2 linked regions of the Lonchura striata genome follow. The protein of the gene in region 2 interacts with the protein of the main gene of each other region in a pairwise test. Links are inferred from orthologs where the notes say so. Each region holds a gene or a part of one and is shown on either strand. Other genes may lie near its edges.

Evidence for each region.
Region 1: the proteins of PSMG1 (region 2) and PSMG2 interact in binary tests that used the Homo sapiens proteins (3 or more experiments, as listed by UniProt). The link is inferred for Lonchura striata from reciprocal best matches to the Homo sapiens genes PSMG1 and PSMG2.

The regions. Positions count from the first base shown.
Region 1 is NC_134603.1:53,162,330-53,171,394, reverse strand, and holds the start of PSMG2 (proteasome assembly chaperone 2), read right to left. Parts: upstream 4,213-9,065; 5' UTR 4,158-4,212; coding exon 4,089-4,157; intron 2,513-4,088; coding exon 2,341-2,512; intron 1,578-2,340; coding exon 1,519-1,577; intron 706-1,518; coding exon 587-705; intron 1-586. Other genes in the region: CEP76 (centrosomal protein of 76 kDa), read left to right, coding at 4,362-4,424, 5,673-5,828, 6,150-6,231, 6,589-6,813, 7,325-7,510. UniProt on the Homo sapiens protein: Chaperone protein which promotes assembly of the 20S proteasome as part of a heterodimer with PSMG1.
Region 2 is NC_134604.1:113,906,410-113,916,445, reverse strand, and holds the start of PSMG1 (proteasome assembly chaperone 1), read right to left. Parts: upstream 3,819-10,036; 5' UTR 3,803-3,818; coding exon 3,681-3,802; intron 3,456-3,680; coding exon 3,373-3,455; intron 2,241-3,372; coding exon 2,089-2,240; intron 1,739-2,088; coding exon 1,676-1,738; intron 1-1,675. Other genes in the region: BRWD1 (bromodomain and WD repeat-containing protein 1), read right to left, coding at 7,112-8,241. UniProt on the Homo sapiens protein: Chaperone protein which promotes assembly of the 20S proteasome as part of a heterodimer with PSMG2.

The sequences.
Region 1 (9,065 bases), on a different chromosome or scaffold from region 2:
AGTACTGATTTTATTTATTTCTCATTAAATCACCAAATAGGATGCCCTCAATCATCAGGAAAGGCCTGGTTTTTGGATGGGTAGTATCTATTAAAAAAAGACTGCAATTGCAGCCTTGCAGTTGCCTCCCAACAAATAACTTCCTATAAAAAAACACCCAAAACCCAGGAATGACAACTTACTGTATTGAAGAAAACCTTTCAAATGCAGAATGATAACAAAGAGGTCAGAAACAAACTAATATTGCCATCAACTATTAAAAACCTAACTTGTGACCTGTATGTCAGCAGTTAAGCCCTGATATTGCCTGCGGCCACAGAAGTTGAAACTGAGGCAATGCAGGCTGAGTGCAATTTGCTTACAGCTTTTCATTTGATCAGTACTTCTGACAGTAGTAACCTAGAAAATTCAGTGACTTGTACTGTAATACGTCATGTTTTAACAGTATACTAAGCATTTTATGACCAATGCACACATGCAAGTAAAAGCACCTGCCAAAAGTACTCAGGACATGGAAGTAGAGGGAAATATATCAGTCAAAAAAACCCAGAAACATCAATTAGATCTTTTAAGGAGACAAACATACCCCAAAAGTTGCTCATCATCACGCTGGTATGCGTGGCTGCTGGACAGGAGGACAACCCTGGCAAATTTGCTGCTCTTCACCCAAGAAAGCAGAGTTTCACAGAATGGCCTGTACTTGTTCTTCATGCAAAGACACAGACAAAAAAGTGAAAAATTTAATGTGTCCTTAACAATACTAGGTGTTACATATAGTATTTAGCAGTGACGTAAATTATTCTTCATATCCACTTAGTTTTCAGCCCCAGATATATTAGAAAGCAGAGAACTGCCCTGGTTGTTTACTTAAGCAAAACTACAAATAGAATTACAAGAATTATCTCTAAGACCATGTCAAGAACAACAGTACTACCTGTTTTGTGTGCCGTTAATACCAAAGGAAAAAGATTTAGAGCAGGATGGGATGGCAGGATCACACAGTATTTTTCCACACTTTGAACTGCTAAAATACTGCACTACAATTTTCTTTTCTGTGGTGGCATTCTGCTTATTTTAAATTACAGCCACTGCCCAATTAATGAGTAATACTAAATTCCTCATTTTTACCAAATGAACATTGTTTAAATGAATATAGAATAATATGAAATAATTAAATTGGCATAACACAAAAAAGAATAAAGCTATTACAAAGAATACAGAAAAAATATAAATGCAAAGGAAAAAATAAACAAACAAAACCCAGACCATTTTGTATTTTCATGACTCTTAATAACTAAGGAGATATTAGCACTAAAATCTACCAACACAGGCAGCTGTTGTGGGGCTTGGAAAAACAAAATGCCCAAACTGATGATGCAAAATGCCTCAGCAAATGCAGAAATCAGTAAAACTTTACCAACTGCAGAAGGTGTTACAGCCTGAAGTAGAAAAATATTTTTGCCAGCAGAACTATTCAAACCAAACAGTGAAGTAAAAATGATCGATGAACATACATACCTTTATAAAAGGTGATCTGATCTGCAGAACTACAAGTTTCTTTGAAGGTAAGGAGTACACTACAAGAAGAAATCATTGTCATATTAAGCAGAAACTGAGAATCTGGGTTTAAATATATCAAGAATTACCCCACTTACAAACTTCAGGATAGTAAAGTAAACCTTTCAGTTATCAATTCATACGGGAAAGCCTGACAACATCCACTGTGTTAAAACCACATATTTCTGTGCATTGTACTTTCAGTTGTACTAATTTAAGGACTGAATTATGAAACATATATGAGGATTTGCCTTCTGTAATGATTCAGATTATGTATGCATCTTTGCAAAGATTGCCATATTATTCTGAGATTTCTGTGATTTAAGAGGGTAAAAAAAAAGGAGATACAATGATGAATGTAGGGAAAGAAATTAAGAATTTGTAGGGGGAGTGGGAGAAACATTACACAGGGAAAAAGGCAGAGGTATGTAGGAAAGAAGAAGAGTGGATAAGTATCTTTCTAAATGAGAAATTCAACTTGTATTCCAATAATTTATTTTAAGTATGTGCACACTTCATATTGCTTTGGATTAATACCACAGAGAGTTCTGGTTGCACTACAATATGGCTCAAACATTCTAAATGTCAAATTGGTTTTCCAAAATAACAACAGGAACAGTTTCATTTGTGAAATATGAATACATTCCTATCTGTAGGTTTCTGCAGCTGTTATTACTGCCCTTAATTTAAGCACATCAGCAAAATTTAACAACAACGAAAAAGAAAATGTGATGTTCTTGCATCTTATGTCCCTTGCAAACGCTTGCAGTATTCTATACCCACCTTCAGCATTTATACTCAGCTCCATTGAGTTTTCCTCTGCTGTTGCATATGGGTTATTTCCAACCATTGGCACCAGGCAATCGGTATAGAAGTAACCAACTTTAGTCATGTCAAGCGTGGAAATCACCAGATCTATTGCCAACTGACCGACATTCCCCACGGACACGGCTGGCTGAAGTAACAGAACGAACCGAATTACAGCATACTTCATGGATGGCATAATGTGCTCTTCAAATAGTGAAACCTTAAAATCTGGTCAAACATCATTTCTGAAAGTGGCTGCTCATCCTCTGGCAAAGGTGACTATTTCCTACCAGAAGAATTGGTAAATACAGGATTTGGTCTCTGTCCGACAAAAAACATCCTGGCCAGTTCTGTGAATAATCCTGTCTAATTGTAAACTGAAAGAACAGCTTGGAAACTTACCTCCTTCCCCACATTTTTGGATTGAGAGTAGGTAAAAGTCACTCAAGTGACTGATGTGAGACTGGCTCACATGATGCCCAAAGGCAGCTCTGGTATTACATGTTAAGCCTCTAAATCTCAGACTGACTCATAGACAAGAGTATGTAATTTTACATATTTTTTAAGGATGAAAATTATAAGGGTGCCCTTAAATTAATTTCATAAGAATTGCTACGGGTTATCATCGATCGGGGCAGATACTGACCTAATATGACGACACGGAAAGAGAAAGTAAAGAGTCAGTGTCCTTCCAAAGAAACTATTACGGGAAGACTACCATAAACCGCTCGGTTGCTTTCCTCTAATTTATAATCACATCTAAGAATTACTGCTGCTGCTGCCTGTTGGGGAAAGACAGCGGATTTGAGGCGGACAGAAGATGAAGGGGGCCGCGGCAGCACTGCCGTGCCCCCGCCTGGCTGGCACCCAGCTGCCCGCCCGCCGCAGGCGCGCAGCTCGGCAGGGATGCGCTTCCTGGCGCTCGCCAGCGGAGCGGGAATGACTCCCCGGCAGCCGTGCCGGCAGTGGAGCCGCCTGGGCGGCGGCGCTCCTGCAGCCAGCGCAGCGAGGCCAGACCAGACGGCGTTCGTCCCTCCGCAGCCTGCAGCTCCCGCCCGGCAGCGTCGCCTCGGGCACGTCACCCGGCACCGGTGTCACGCGCGATAAAAACACTTCCGAAAACAATCCTAGTCCGAGATTTAAATGTAGCAGAATGGCTTTTTAAAAAAAACATTTGAAGCATTTATATATCACATCTAAATTAAAAAAAAAAAAAAAATCCCAAGCTTTTATTGCAGTGACAACCCACGGGTGCTGCAAATCCAGTAAAAGCACATAGGGCGCGTTAATTTTTAGAGCAACAGCGTATAGCTATAGCTCCGAAATAGCATATAGTTATTGCTCTAAATTAAAATATAGCTTTTGCAGCTCGGCACGGATCGTCTTGACAGGGGCAAACCCGGGGTTCTGAGGAGGGAGAAGCCGGCAGAAAAGGAGAAGACCGCGCTAAGCTCTGCCGCAGACAGAGCCCTCCAAACCCTCTTTTCCCAGAACACCCCACAGATTCCACACACACCGCCTGCCCTGAGCTTTCTCCGCTTATCCCGCGGCCAAGCGCCCAGGGACGAGCCTCGGGCAGGGCAGGGACCGACACCAGAACCCCGTGGGACATGTCCCGTCCCACAGGAGCGGAGCGGAGCCCTCGGCACAGGGACCGCGGGCAGCGAGCCCTCAAACGCACCGAGGGCGAGGGCGGCGAAAGGCGAAGCAGGAGCGTGACTCACCATCAGCAGAGTGAACCCTTTAAAGTCGGGGGCGGCGGAGCCCCCGCCGCGGCCGCACGGAATGAACATGCCGGCCGGGAAGGGAGGAGAAAGCAGGCAGTGAGGGAAGGAAGGAAGGAAGGAGGGAGGGAAGGAGGGAGGGAGGAAGGAAGCAGGGAGGGAGGAAGGAAGCAGGGCGCGGACGCCGCACCCGCGTGCCGCCGCCAGGGGGCGGCGGCGGCGCTGCCCGCGCTGGCTGCGGGGCGGTTGGGCTCGCTCGGTGGCGGTGCCGCCATGTCGCTGCCGCCGGAGAAAGCCTCGGAGCTGAAGCAGATCATCCACCAGCAGCTGCTCAAGGTGGGCCCGGCGCCGGAGAGACTTCCCCGGCCCTCAGGGAGCTGTGCTGGCCTCCGTGCCGGTGTCACCCGGCCGCGGGTGGCGGCGGCGCCCGCTCCGGCGCCCCGCTTTGTTTTCCCAGTTGGGTCGCTGCAGGTGGTTTCCAGGCGCCGCTTGGTCGCTTTCCTGTTGCTTTTTGAGCGAGGGTCTTGAACTGGCCGGGGAATAAGTAAGGAGGCTGTAACTCCTATAGCGCTTGTTAGTGCAGTGGTGAATATTCCTGCCCGTCACAGGAGAACGGGGATCTTGGAGTGAGTCCAGAGGAGGCCAGCAAGATGATTAGAGGGGGGCAGCGCCTCTGCTTGAGGAAGGCTGAGAGAGCTGGGATTGTGCAGCCGGAGAGGAGAAGGCTCGGTGGGAACTTCATAGCAGCCTTCTGAGGGGAGCCAGCAAGAAAGGAGACAGACTTTTTACCACAGCGTGTAGTGACAGGACAAGGGGAGATGGATTCAAATTGAAAGACATATTAGGAAGAGTTTTTCACTGTGATGGGTGTTGAGGGACTGGAGCAGGTTGTGGATGTCCCATCCCTGGAAGTGTTTCAGGCCAGGCTGGGTGGGGTTCTGAGTGACCGGATCTAGTGGAAGGTGTTCCTGCCCATGGCCAGGGTTTTGGAATTAGATGATCTTGAAGGTGTTTTCCAACAAGGTCGTTCTGTGATTCCGTTTCAGGTCCTGGTGACTGTGTCCTTCGCAGCCTTCCAGTGTGAGAGTCAGCTCTATAAATCCATCTGCTTTCACAGCTCAGATGATGGGCATTCTCAGACATCCCTTTGAGTATAGGGAAAGCTTGCAAAGGAGATCTACTGCTTTTGTGCCCAACCTATATAATGAATATTTTTTCCCCTTAAAAAATAAGGAAGTATTATATTAAGGTTGAATTTTGAGGGAGACAAGAAAATGGAACAGTGACCATTTTGTAATTTATGTATTTCCAGACCTTTTTGTAAGGGGGGACGTTCCAGATGAGTTGCTGTCAAAGAGCAGTGAAAATGCCAAGGTTTTGTATGCTTGTAATTTTTTTTTACTGGGAGAGTTGCTTTTGTAAGATAGTGGCTCATTTGATTAGTTGTGCAAGGATCAGTATTTTGATATCGTTATTTCTGTGTTCTTAGGAAAACACCATTAGCCTTACAGACTTAATTGGTAAGTTGTACCTGCTGCCATACAGAGGGCTGGTGTTTGTAGCACATAATGAATTTTCTTTCAGATGGATGTCCATGGGAGGATACGAGAAGTTCTTGCTGAGACTGTACGAGAAGAGCTGGCGCCTGAGCAGCAGCAGTTGTCCACAGAAGATCTGATAAGAGCCCTAAGACAGCGGGGAATCATTGATGATGTTATGAAGGAACTTAAATTTGTAACTGTAAGTAGCTTTTTAAGAAGGGAAATATTTCTGCTTATTCCTCTTACTGCCGTGGTTTTTCGACAAAGTGAAACCGCTGCTTCTGGAGTTTTGTAAGGACCTTACTGATTTGAGACATTATAGGAGCAGAGAAGATTAATGCACATGCTGAAATCGGTTTGGTGATAATACTGCACTGAAAATATTTGTTCAGTTTTAGAAGGGAGTATACCTAAGGAATGGCATTCAGACGAAATGGAAGATCCTTTAATTTTTAGAAGACTGTGGTAAGAGCACTGTTGCATCCCTTGAGTCCTTAAAAAGTCTTAATTGTAATTCCAGGATGTGAATGAAACGGAGAGGACTTTGGCTCCAAAACCATCAACACATTTTGTTGACAGAGAACCACCAGTTTTGAAAAAAAGTATGTTTCTTGTTTATTTAAATGTTTAGATCATGGTTTTAAAGCAAATTTGAAGTCTCTGATTTTGGCACTCTGAATTAGTAATCCAGTATGAACTGGAATAAAGGTGGATGTTTCCTCTGCTTATCCACAGGGAGTAAACTCATGTAAGCAGCAGCAATCAGTGTTGCATTAAATATTATTTATTATTAATTCATTTACTTTACACAAAGGTATATTTTAAAATCACTTTCTTCTAAGCATGTTTCAAAGAAGTTTAATTTTTTGCTAGTGTCCTGTTAGTTACCTGATATTTAACAAATTAAGCTTTCTAAGATCTGTTTGTAGTCTCTTCATTTTTATTGCTACGCTTTGCAGCTAACATTGACCCAACACGGAGGTATCTTTACCTTCAGGTTTTGGGTGGAAAAGCTTTTCTGGAACATCTTCAGGAACCAGAGCCTCTGCCTGGCCAGATCTGTTCTACCTTCACTCTGTGTTTACATTTTCGAAACCAGCGCTTCCGTTCCAAACCTGTACCCTGTGCCTGTGAGCCAGATTTTCAGGATGGTTTTCTACTTGAAATACACAAGGATACCCTAGGTAAGGAATATTGTGGGTTTAAAGCTGATGCTGTTGGGATTTCTTCTGACCTGAGAGTTATTGTGAAATATGTTTGGTATTATTTAGTGAATTTTTTTCCTGGTTTTTGTCATGTTTTCCTGAGAAAACTGATTACTGTATTGGGTTATACCCCTTGTAGATCTTTCTCTGCTCTTGCTCTTTTCCTTCTTTTTCACTCTAAAATAACTTGAAATTGACCAGCTTTATAAATTCTTAAATGTTAATTCCATTTATATTTTTTGTGTATCTGAACTAGTTGCATTGCAGTACTCAACTGCAAAATAATTTTATCTTCTCTGTAATCTCTCTGTAGCTCTGTCCTAAAGTGAGTATGGTGTTAGAGATAGGATCATTGTTTACACTTCTGGACTCAAGGTCTTTCTTTATACTTATTACAGACATTGCATTTTGTTGCATACTGTTTTAAAATTCTGAGGAGAACTTGGGATGATAATATTCTTGTTGTTTTATTTTGGTTTAATAATGGCAGGTGATGGAAGCAAGATGGTGGATGCAACCACTATGTTATCTATATGTGACCCAGTACATATGGTTCTGATCAAAACAGACACATTTGGTGAGACCACACTGGTAGCATCCTATTTCTTGGAGTGGAGGTCTGTCTTGGCTGCAGAGAATGGCATAGCAAGTGTTGCTGTGGAACTCCTGGGTGTAGGTAAGGATGAAAAATAAGCATGTTGTAATGACTTAAAATATTGAGTAGTGAGCTCGCTTACAAGCTTAAAGCAGTATTTTTGATCTAGTTAATTTTTTTTCTTCAATTCAGAAGTAACTGTAAATTATCCTTAGAAAATCCCTAGAAGACTTAATGGTCAGATTTTTCTGTTATCAAGCTGCTAAAAATGAGTATTCCAGATCCCATATAAAAATGGTTCTCATGCCTGGGAATTCCCACTATGGATTACCTGCAAAATCTGGTTAAGTTATCAGAATCAAACTAACCAACCAAAAATCCAGTTCATCTCCAGGAATATATCTGGTCAGTGCACTGGGGAGTAAAATCCAGCTTGTGTGCCTTTCATAGCAAATTAACAATGTCTGGAAAAAAGGATCTCTGCTCTGCTCCCATTTATCCCAGTAGCTGGAAGTGTGGTTCTGAACGGCTTGGTTTAGGTGCTTAGCAGTTAGTACGCGTGTGTATTTTTGTGTGTCACTTGTCCCCAGTCCTCTTCTCAGGACTTCCAACCCAAGATTTAGGATATGATTTAGTGAATGAAGACTAGGTCTCTCATTACTTCCTACAAGACTTTTTACAAGAGCAGGTAATGAGAGGACAAGATCAGAGTAAATTTAGATTAGATTTTAAGAAGAAATTTTTCCTGGAACAAGTTTCCCAGAGAAGCTGTGGATGCCACATCCTGAGAAGTGTTCAAGGTCAGGTTGGATGGACCTCTGACCAACATGATTTTGTGGAAGGTGGCAGGGGGATTGGAAATAGGTGGTTTCTAAGATTCCATCCAACCAGGCCATTCTGATTTTAATATTCTGTAATGACTTGGAAATGCATAACAAATAAGTAGGGTTTAATTCTTGAATGGGTTATGGAGCAAGTTAAATTTAATTCTCATTAGCTTTATTCCAAGTAATAAAGTATCAATCCAATAAATCAAGTGCTTTTTCTCCTCTTCAAAATCCTGTTATTGTACAAAATGCATCAAGAACATCAAAGGATGCTGCCATCTCAGATAAACAGATAAACTATTATGTGAGGTTTCCATTGCTTGTATTGCTTATGAACCCATCTGTGATCTGTTTTGTAAAGCTCATTGTTGTTTATGTAATTTAAAATTTTCAGCATTAGGCAACAATATTAAGTCCAGGGGGGTTGTTGTTCATTTGTTTGTTGTTTTGGGGAGTTTTTTCTAAGTTGATAAATTTCTTTGTATGTCAGCCAGAGTCCTTCATAAGAACTGTATCCTGGAGGAAAATGAGCTTCACTTATTTCTACCTATTTAAATTTAATCTACTTGCGTAATCAGTAGAAATAGGCACATTTACAGTGTGTGATTCTCTGGCTCGATTTTAGATGCCTATTCCAGACATTTCTAGAATAACATTGTAGGATTCATCTCATATGTCCCAGTACTGGCTGCAAATAGGGCTGTGGAACATTTTATTGGAAGTAGACACCTGTGCTTTTGTATATTATGCTTTCTTGTAGCCTCATTTGAGTTTGAAATTTCAATTAAAATTCCTACTTAGCCTATGTT
Region 2 (10,036 bases):
TCTAGTCAATATATTAAGATTTACTGCTTTAATTAATGGTGATTGAAAGAAGAAGGATTCCAAATAAAAACAAGCAGTTCACTGAGCTGCGTAACATTTGAAATAAAAATTGTGCCCCATGTCCCACAATATTGTAAAAGACTTTCTTTTAAATGCACAGGTTTTATTTAATTCTATTCAAGTCCAGTTGAGAAAGAAAATTTAGGATTCTCTTTCTCAGATTCAAAGAACCGAGTTTCACACAAACCTTCTGGCTGTCACAAAATACCAATAGGAGAAAAGAAAACAGAGAATTTGGAAACTGTGACAGAAACTTGCCTGTTTCTGTCTGCGTACCAATCCCAGGAGGGAAGCTGCCTGTGCCATCACTGTGTCACCACTGTGCCAGAAATCTGACAGAAATATTCAGAAGCTCGCATATTTTCCACTTGCTTTGTTGGGAACACTGTCTGGAATTAATGTCTGCAAAACTCCAACCTGTGTGTTCTGGTTTGTCAGTGATCCTTACAGAGAAAACACGCCCAGATGTGAAGATATGACTTGTGGAGATGGGAGATGCTCAGTAAATCAGGATTTACACACAGAATGGGGCTGCAACTCACATTAAAAGCAAAAAGACTGCCAGCACGTTGTTTCTGCTGCACATTTAAAAATACCAATAACCACAAAATTTAAAAATACTCAGGAACATTGACTTGGTACAAGCACACTCCTACAGTTCAGGGACACCCACAATGGAAATCACACATATCCACAAACAGCTGGGGAAGACAACCCCCAGCCATCCTACTTTTGCAATCCCACTTTAAATCAAGTGCAGGAACATGTGGAATACAGCAAAAGCAAAACATTTGAGGTCTCGGGGCTTTTAAACTTCCAAATGAGCTGTGATTCCCCAGCAAAGCTGTACTTACCTCTAAGCCCAGCTTTAGAATCCCTGCTGGTCCATCAGCTCAGCAGAGATTTAAAGGCAGGCAGGGAAGGAGCAGACAGACAACAAGACAAAATAGTAAGCCACACTTCCTCCAGGCAAAGCAGTGACCCAAATCCATCAGCAAAAACAAGAGGAGGAACATTTGCCCCTGGCTTTATCTTATTAAAATAAAAATGATGATATTTGGAGAGACTTCAGTGAGCCAGCAGTGCTCCTGTACCTGCATGATGTTGGGAATGTTAAATCTGGGAACAAATGGGACAAATGCTGCTTGGGAGACGCTTTCCCCTCCAGCTCCCCCTTGGGAAAGGCACAGAACACCCCCAGCAGCTGACACCATCCACCAGGAGCTCCTCAACTGGTGATCTTTTGGCAGCTGTACAAATTGCTGTTGGTTTTTTCAAGGAAAAATTCTCCCAGAGGTGAAATACAGCTGAAATAAGCCATGGGAAATGAAAAGCAAGCAGGAAAAAGGTTTGGGAGGTGGTTAAGGGCCAACAAAACTGAAACTGTCCAAAAGGAGTGACTGCACTCGGCTGGGAGGTTACAGCAGGTACAGCTGGCAGCATCTAGAAAGGGTTTTTACAGGTCCTGCAGAGAGTAAATTTATCTATTTTTGAATATTTAATAAAATAAAACCACAGGGGAAACTTATTTAACACTGTCATGTCTAAAGTATCAGAGAGGAAGATCCCCACCCTTAGGATTTTATTACTCCATTTATTTTCTTGACAGTTTTACCTTCTCAAGCCACTGGAACTGTTGATCCTCAGCCACGTAGCAACTACACTGGCACAATACAACCTAAAAAAAAGTAAAAACTTGTGTAAGTAAGTGGTTTAAAGGCCACAACAGCAGCTCATCAGCACCTGTAAGGATGATGTGGCTGCAGACAATAACTTGTTCAGTTATTTTGGGTTTCTTTAACTCTGTTTCAATGAGGAATTTTTGCTCACAAATGAAGTGAAGCCACGAGGCTGTGACATCTCTGTGCTGAGCTCCACACAGAACTTCACACAGTTTTAGTGAGAATTAACCCTTCAGATCACTTATGAGATTTATCCATGATCCTGCAGTATCTAGTTTGGGGCTGGATGAAAGCTCTCTTCTTCAGAGAGCCAAACCACAGAGGAATTAATGCTCAAGTCACTTACTGTGGGATCTGAAATCAATCTGTAGAACAAACAGAAAGAGTCTGTGGGAAGGACATTTGTGGTGCTGGATGTTCTGCACCACTCATTCCACAGCTTCACAACTCCAACCACTTCCCAGCACACAGAATCCAGGATAAAAGATGACAGGAAAGCTGCAAAAGCCATAAAATATACTGTTAATTTATAAAGAATAAAACCTCTGCTTTACAAATAAATAGCTGGACTAAACTAGAATATTCCTTTGCAACCTGAAGGAAGAATAACTCATTTATATCAACTTAGATTTACTAACCAAATCTAAGAAACATCAACAATGTGATTAGCCCCACTTATTCAAATTTAAAAAGATAAAGAGCTGTTCAACATATACAGATCCCTAACATAAAAATCACTTGTTCTTAGGAATTATAGCATTACAATCAACTTCAATTTCTTTAGTACTAATTAAGGATGTGAAATATCCTTAATCTGACATAGCAGATTAAAACCAAAAATCAGTGAAGCAGCAAGGCACAACTATTACACTGATTCTAGAAAACAGAGGCAAGAGTGTGGCAAAAACGTTCAGAAATCAGATTCCTATCAAAAGCTACAGAAGACAGATCCAAAATAGCTATTACTGTTTTTTCAAGGGAAAGCCTGAACAAAACCCAAACAAATGAGCAAAGTTAACTTTGATAAAATCTAAATGTGATGTAAATGTCACTTCAATGCAAACAAGACTTCTGGGTACTATTAGATTAAAACTTTTGCCAATGAATAAACAATCCCAGAGTTTACCAAACAAAAGCCAGTTAAAGGAAAAGGGGGATTGTCCTAACTAAAATACCAAATTAAAACACATTTCACTTTTCAACTGAAAATACATCAACTTTCACGAGGAGCAAGCAGCTGTAACAATAACTGTGTTTTACATCTACAAAGCAACTTCAGCTTTCTCTGGACCACTCAGCTGCCTCCAGGTTTAACCTCTGCTGCTAAATAAGGAGCTGCACGTTCAGTAAATAGAGGGGATTAATAAAGGCTGGAGAGGGATATTTCAAAATCTAATGGGATGACAGGTCAAAGGGAATGAGCTCAACGTAAAGAGGGGAGGGTTAAATGGGATTTTGGGAGGGATTGTTCCATGTGAGGGTGGCACAGGGTGCCCAGAGCCTGGATCCCTGGCAGTGCCCAAGGCCAGGCTGGACACTGGGGCTTGGAGCAGGGAATGTCCTGGCACATTTACACCTCCCTCCTCCTCAATTTATTCCGCACACCCCAGCAGTTCTGGTTCTCACGCACCCGCAGCGTTCCTGCCGATGGCCACGATGAACCTGGAGCACACCAAGGGCTGCTCGGCACAGCTCCACAGGAGCTGGATCTCCCTGGGGAAAGAACCACAGAACAGCCCGAGCTGGCAGGGACCCACAAGGAATTGAGTCCCACTCCTGGACCTGCCCAGACCCCAAAATCCCACCCTGGGCATCCCTGGCAGCGCTGCCCAAAGGCTCCTGCAGCTCTGGCAGCCTCGGGGCCGTGCCCATTCCCTGGGCAGTGCCAGCACCTCCGGGGAAGAGCCTTTCCCTGATCTCCAGCTGCGCCGCCGGTACCTTTTCTTCTCGATCTCCCTGCGGATCTCCCGGTCCTCAGGCGTCTCCTCCCGCGCCTCCTCCTCCTCGTCCAGGCCGGCCCGGGACGGAGCCACCACCACCTCCCCGAAGAAGGTCGCCATGGCCGCCCGCGCCTGCGCCGCGCCGCCCTCAGCCCGGAGCAGGCGCGGGAGGCGCCGGCGCGGCCCCTCAGCGCCGCTCGCAGAGACGGGGCTCCGCACCCCGTCCCTGGGCAGCTTCTTCCAAGGATTAACCATCCTTTCAGTGAAGAAAATCATCCAGATGGCCCATTTAAACCTCCCCTGCCTGACCTCGATGCTGTTTTGTTCTGTCCCTGTTCCTGGAGCAGAGCCCGACCCCCCGGCTGTCCCCTCCTGGCAGGAGCTGTGAGAGCCACAAGGTCCCCTGAGCCTCCTTTGCTCCAGCTCAGCCCCTTCCCAGCTCCCTCAGGAGCTCTCCAGCCCCTTCCCAGCTCCCTCAGGAACTCTCCATTCCCTTCCCAGCTCCCTCAGGAACTCTCCATTCCCTTCCCAGCTCCCTCAGGAACTCTCCATTCCCTTCCCAGCTCCCTCAGGAACTCTCCAGCCCCTTCCCAGCTCCCTCAGGAATTCTCCAGCCCCTTCCCAGCTCCGTTCCCTGCCCTGGACACGCTCCAGCCCCTCCAGGTCTCTCCTGCAGGACCAGAACTGGGCACAGCCCTGGAGGGGCCTCTCCGAGCCAGCCCAGAGGGACAATCCCTGCCCTGCTCCTGCTGGACACACAATTCCTCATCCAGCCCAGCTGCCAGCGGCCTCTTGCCCCCCTGGGCACCCCTGGGCTCGTGTCCAGCCCCTGGCACAGCACCCCCAGGGCCTTTTCCAGCTCTCCAGCCCCACCGGGGTTGTTGTCCCTTGGCCTGGTTGAACCAAAGAAGAGCACAGTGACATCTAGGTGTGTGTACAGCTTTACTTTGGTCCACTAACATATGTACATCATCAAAGCCTGTAACATGAAAGAATCTGATTCCTTTATGATTCTGTCCTGCACTTGAACATTTGCCTCTGTTCATGCTGCCTGATCACCATCACAGACTCAGGTCCTGCTCTAAAACAAACCAAAACACCCCCCAAAAGTCACATTAAATAAAGATCCTACTTTTAAAGGTCTACTACTTCGTGTCCCTGAGTACAGCTAGACCAAACCAAAAATGCTCACGTAAAGGAAGGTGAAAGGACTGCCAATTCTACAAGAGCCACCATGCTCCTTTAATAAATTAAAAATAAATACTCTTAAAGAGTGGAAGACTCAAAATACCTTTCCAGTTTAATAATTTCTCTTCCCAGTAACTGTATAAAATTAGGAAATACAGACCATCACATGCTTTGCCTAGAAAATAAAAGTGTCAGGGTCCCTAAGGATCCCTCTTGGATCTGCAGCTCCAAAAACCAGCACCATCTCCAGCTTTCAGGGATCATGAACCTCTGTGTGCAGTGACAGAATACAGCACCTGAAAGAAAACCAGCTTTGTAAATCTAAACCTAGATTAGAAATTCAAACCTACCGGCCCAATTTTAGCTGTTTGAAGTGAAAATTAATAAAAACTCTGATGTTCAGTTTGGTTATTCCCAAATTTGAGTAGTTGTACTCCAGAGAACATTGAGAATATGCAGCTGCTAATAGAAAAAAATAGTGGACTTATTACCTTATAACAAATTTTGCTCCTCAAAGAAAACACAAAGCCACCTTCAAGTTTTATCACTAAACACAAATGTGTTTGTATTTCAGAAACCAAATATAGAATCCAGATAAACATTTATCTTGAATTTACAAAATTCTGCTGCATCCTATTAAAGACTATGCTCTAAATAAAACTTCCTGGGGCAAGAACCATTTAAATTATTTTTGGACTTCACATGGAAATTTTAAGGAAGAAGAAGAAAAAAAGGAGTATTTCTCTGTGCTAACATCTGACATAGCAAAAGTGATGGTAAAATCAGAGTTATCAGTGAGGGTGTTGAAATTGTTCTCACTGATGGCATCTCCTTTTTCCATGATGCCTTTCCATTTGTACAAGGATTTCTGTCATTATTCACCAGGATTGTGCAGCTGCAGTAATTTTTTCACCCCCCCAAATCCTTCTGGATCCCACTACCAATCAGACCAACCCAATTCCCGAACTTGCTATTTCAGTTCACATGAGCTAGGTTTGGATCCATCTGATACTCTGTCACATCTTCTATTGAATGACAAAATCAGGAAGGGAAGCTGCAGCACAGAGGAGGAACCCTGGAGTGGGGAAGGAGCAGAGATTCCCTGATGTTGGGCTGGGGGAGCCATCGTGGGGCTCCCACCAGCACAGTTCCAGGGAAAACTAAGAATTCAGAGCTGCTGTGTGTTTTTGTTGTTGATATGTCTTCAATCAGAGACTTGCACATATTTTCCTGGCAAAATTTTCTTTCTTGTCAACAAGAGCCAACTCAAACATTGTGGAAACAGGAGATAAACTACAATGGTCAGAAACTGGTAAGGTTTAATCAATGGGAAATCCAACATTCAAACACTTTAAATATGGAGGAACAACAGAAACGTAGCAAAAAAAGGTCTGGAATGTCGGAATCCTGCACCTCAAGCTTTCCACGCATAAAGAAAACAGAACAAGTGTTTTGTTTGTTTTTCTATTTTATAAAGAAAACACACAAAAACCCTTTAGGCCCAAGAGTTCACCTGCATTTCATAATCTTAAAAGTTTACAGTATAGAAGTCACATTAATGATGTACTACCTGTCAGCAGAACCCTCTGTTCACCAAAGCCTCTGGAACTGGCAAATCAACTCCTTCACTGGTAACTGCTTCTCAGCAATGCAAGCAGAGAACACTGAACACCTGCACTGAATCAAGCTGTGAAGTTATCAGCCTTTTCATTCCTCTTTGGAAGCAATGCTTGCATCCACCAGGTTTTTAGAGTGTGTACTATGATTTAGAAGCCTGTTACTATTGTAGATGATTTCATACAGCATTAGAGATGTTTGAAATCTGTTCTTGAATGTTGCATGACCTAGGTAGTATTTCATTGCAGCACCCATAACAATAATACTCGACATACTGCTATTAACCTGTTTGCAGTGTTTTAACATTTTTTTAACTCTTGTTTATATGTAATAAAATACCAGTAAAGACAAAAAATTGCCCCTATAATGAGGCACATTTTGGCATCTGTGCTAAATGCTGCTACATGGGCAGGCAAGTGCAAGTCAAAATATGAAAAAGGAGAAAGTCATCATCTAATCACATTCATAACTTTTTCATAGAAAAATATAAATATATTCCCTGAAATGTAGGACAAAGAACAGCCAGCGCCCATCAGGAGTTCTAGTGCTATTACCATTAAAAAAAAAAAAAAAAAAAAAGAAAAATAAAAAACCAGAGATGGGCTGGCTATCCTTTTGTTAAGGTTACGTTTCGCAGGCGGCATCCTCGAGGGCTCTGTCGTCGTCGTCGCCGTCGTTGTAGCGCACGGTGCGCCGGCCGCCGTTGCGCGTGCGGATCTTGGAGCGCCGCGGCGCCCGCCGGCACGCGCCGAACTCCACCTCCTCCGAGTCCTGCTCCTGGCTGCCTTTCCGCCGTTTCCTGCGCTGCGGCCTCCTGCAAGGCCTCAGGGAGTCCTGGCTGAGGCTTTCTTTCCTGCCGGGTTTGGATTTCCTCTTGCGCTTCCTGCTTTCCGTGGCGTCGCTGCAGACGGTGGTGTCGGTTCCAGAGTCCGAGGAGAAACAGGTGAAGTTGGCTTTGGATCTTCCTGCAGTCCCAGGTGCCTCCACATCCTCGGAGACAGAGCTTTTCTCCTCTTGTTTCCCCCCCTTTTCAGATTCTGTTGTTTCCTTGAAGTCATCCACCCGTTTTAATCTCTTGAAAGAAGCTCTGGGTTTTTTATTTGCTGCTACTCTGGTATTTTTAGTTTCAAGTTTAGCTAAGTCAGAATCAACCTCCTCTTCAGAGTTACTCGTACAATGGTTGTGGGCTGAAGCTGCCTGCCTAGAAATTCCCCAGTTTCCCCCATTTTCTACCCTGTGGTTTGTGGAATTCTCCTCTGAGGAGTTATAGTCAAAATTATTCAGAGCTGCAGCACAGAGGGGTTTGTGTGGCTGCGTGTGGTCATCACTCTGCTTCCGAGTTTCTGTCTCCGAGTCAGTCCTCTCATTCTCAGACTCAATAATATATTTCCTTTTAGAAACAGAAGGCTCAGGGCAGGAAGGTTTTTTCCTGCCAGAGACCTGCTCACTCTCATTTTCAGACTTGGAACAAGCCTCCACCTCCGAGCTGTTAAATAGCTTCTTCCTGCAGGCTGAGGACACGCTGCCCTGGAGCTGCTTGCGGTTCTTCCTGACTGGGTAAACACTTTCTGAGCTGGATAATTCCTCCTTGGCTTTGCTCATGATCTTGATCTTGCTGGCTGCCAGCGTGGCACACCTGCGGGGGTTCTTCTTCTCCCCCACGCTGGACACCCTGATGTGTTTCTTGTAGTTGATGATGCACGTCCTGCTCCGCAGCACTTTGCCACTTTGGCTGGGCTCCTCTGATGTTTGCTCTACAAAAGAAAGATGAAAAAGTTCTTTTTCATGTCTTACATTCCTGAAATTATTAGTTTATTATGCCCAGACCCTATCACCTTTAATGAAATACACAAATATTGAATTTTATTTTGAATTCAACTGTTAAGTGCAATTTATCTCAAGTCTTTACTAAAAATACAAGCAGTATCCCAGGAATACTTTTAACTCTTGAGATTGTCACTTTCAAACCTTTTCACGGTCTCAGAAAGGCTTTCTTTAGCATTACTCTGTTAATTAGCTGAAAAATTACAAATTCCCTCACCAAGCAAATGCTGTCATATTAGTAATACTTGTATCATTAAAAGTTGTATTTTCCTTACTAGAATAAAACTTGCAGTGTTAATTACATATTTTAGCCCTTTTATCCTAAAAAAGTAACTATAATATTTCATGTGGATGCCAATTTCATGTGGATTTCAAATTTCAATTTTGGATGGTTTCAGGTGGAGAACACTGAAACCCTTCAGCTCCTTAGTGACTTTAACACTCAGATTGCTGCTAACAGTGAATCTTCCAGTCACTGTTTTAAAAATTAATATAGAACTTGCTTTTGTTGTGTTTTAAAACAAATATTCCATGTGTAAATCATATACTATGAAGATCAGTGTTTCCCTTCTAAGTAAGACAATTCATACATATGAATAAAAAAAAAATCAAAAGTTCTTGAAGTAAATTTAAAAATGCAAGCAGAGGGAAAAGTTCTCAGGCATAAATAAAAATGTCCAGCTTGAGTACCAATATTAACAATCTCTTCACATAAAAAATCTGGTCCTTATTTAAATGTAGATCCTTTTATGTACTACTTCAGTATATCCCTATTTTTAAGTTTTCGAAGGAAAATTAATTTCTTTTCTTTGTTACGAGCTTCCAGACATGATACATGAATATTACTACTTGTAGCAGTTGTATTGTCTGATTTTTATGGCCAAAGCACAGCATATTTCTGCTGCACACTGAAAAATGCTGTATGAAATGTGAATTAATCCACAGGCTAAAATGAAGAGTTAGATCTTATACAATATTATTGTATAAGATATTATAGAATTATTGTTGCATACAAATATTATTGTCCTCCAATATTATTAAGTAGTTGGAATACAAGAGTAAAGAATAAAGAAATCCAGCCTGCAACACTGCCAAAAGATTAAAATTATATACAAAATTTTAAATTTGGAACAAATCTATAATAAAATGTATTGAAATTCCCCACTGAACATCCACAGATAAAAGCTGCAGAGCTACAACCAGGTGGCAGAGGCAGAAAGAGGGAGCATTAAACCAAGCACCCCCAGAAACTGGGAGAGCTTTTAAAAGCCTCAAAGATGTGAAATTTTAGTTCATCAGGTGTCCTGGAGTTCAGGCCAAACTCCAAACCTGGAATACTGGACTGGAAAATCCAGCCTGAGCTCCAACCAGCTCAGCTGCAGGGGGCACTGCAGCCCACAAGGCATTGGCACATTTTATCTGAAACAAATTCTGTTTCTTTAAATCTTTTCTGATATATAAAATCCCATACTAAACACTACACACCTATAATATATATTATATATAACATAATCTACATTACAGAACTATATACAGACTGTTTTACATATCAAAATAGATTATGTGATATTTATATTATATATACATTAAAAAGAAGCAAAGCAAAGCTTCCACATAAATTGTTTAGCTGGTTGAGTGTGTGTGTGTATATATATATATATATAAAAATACATATTTATTTGAAAAAATAGGAACTCTACAAGTATGCCCCTATATATGTATTAA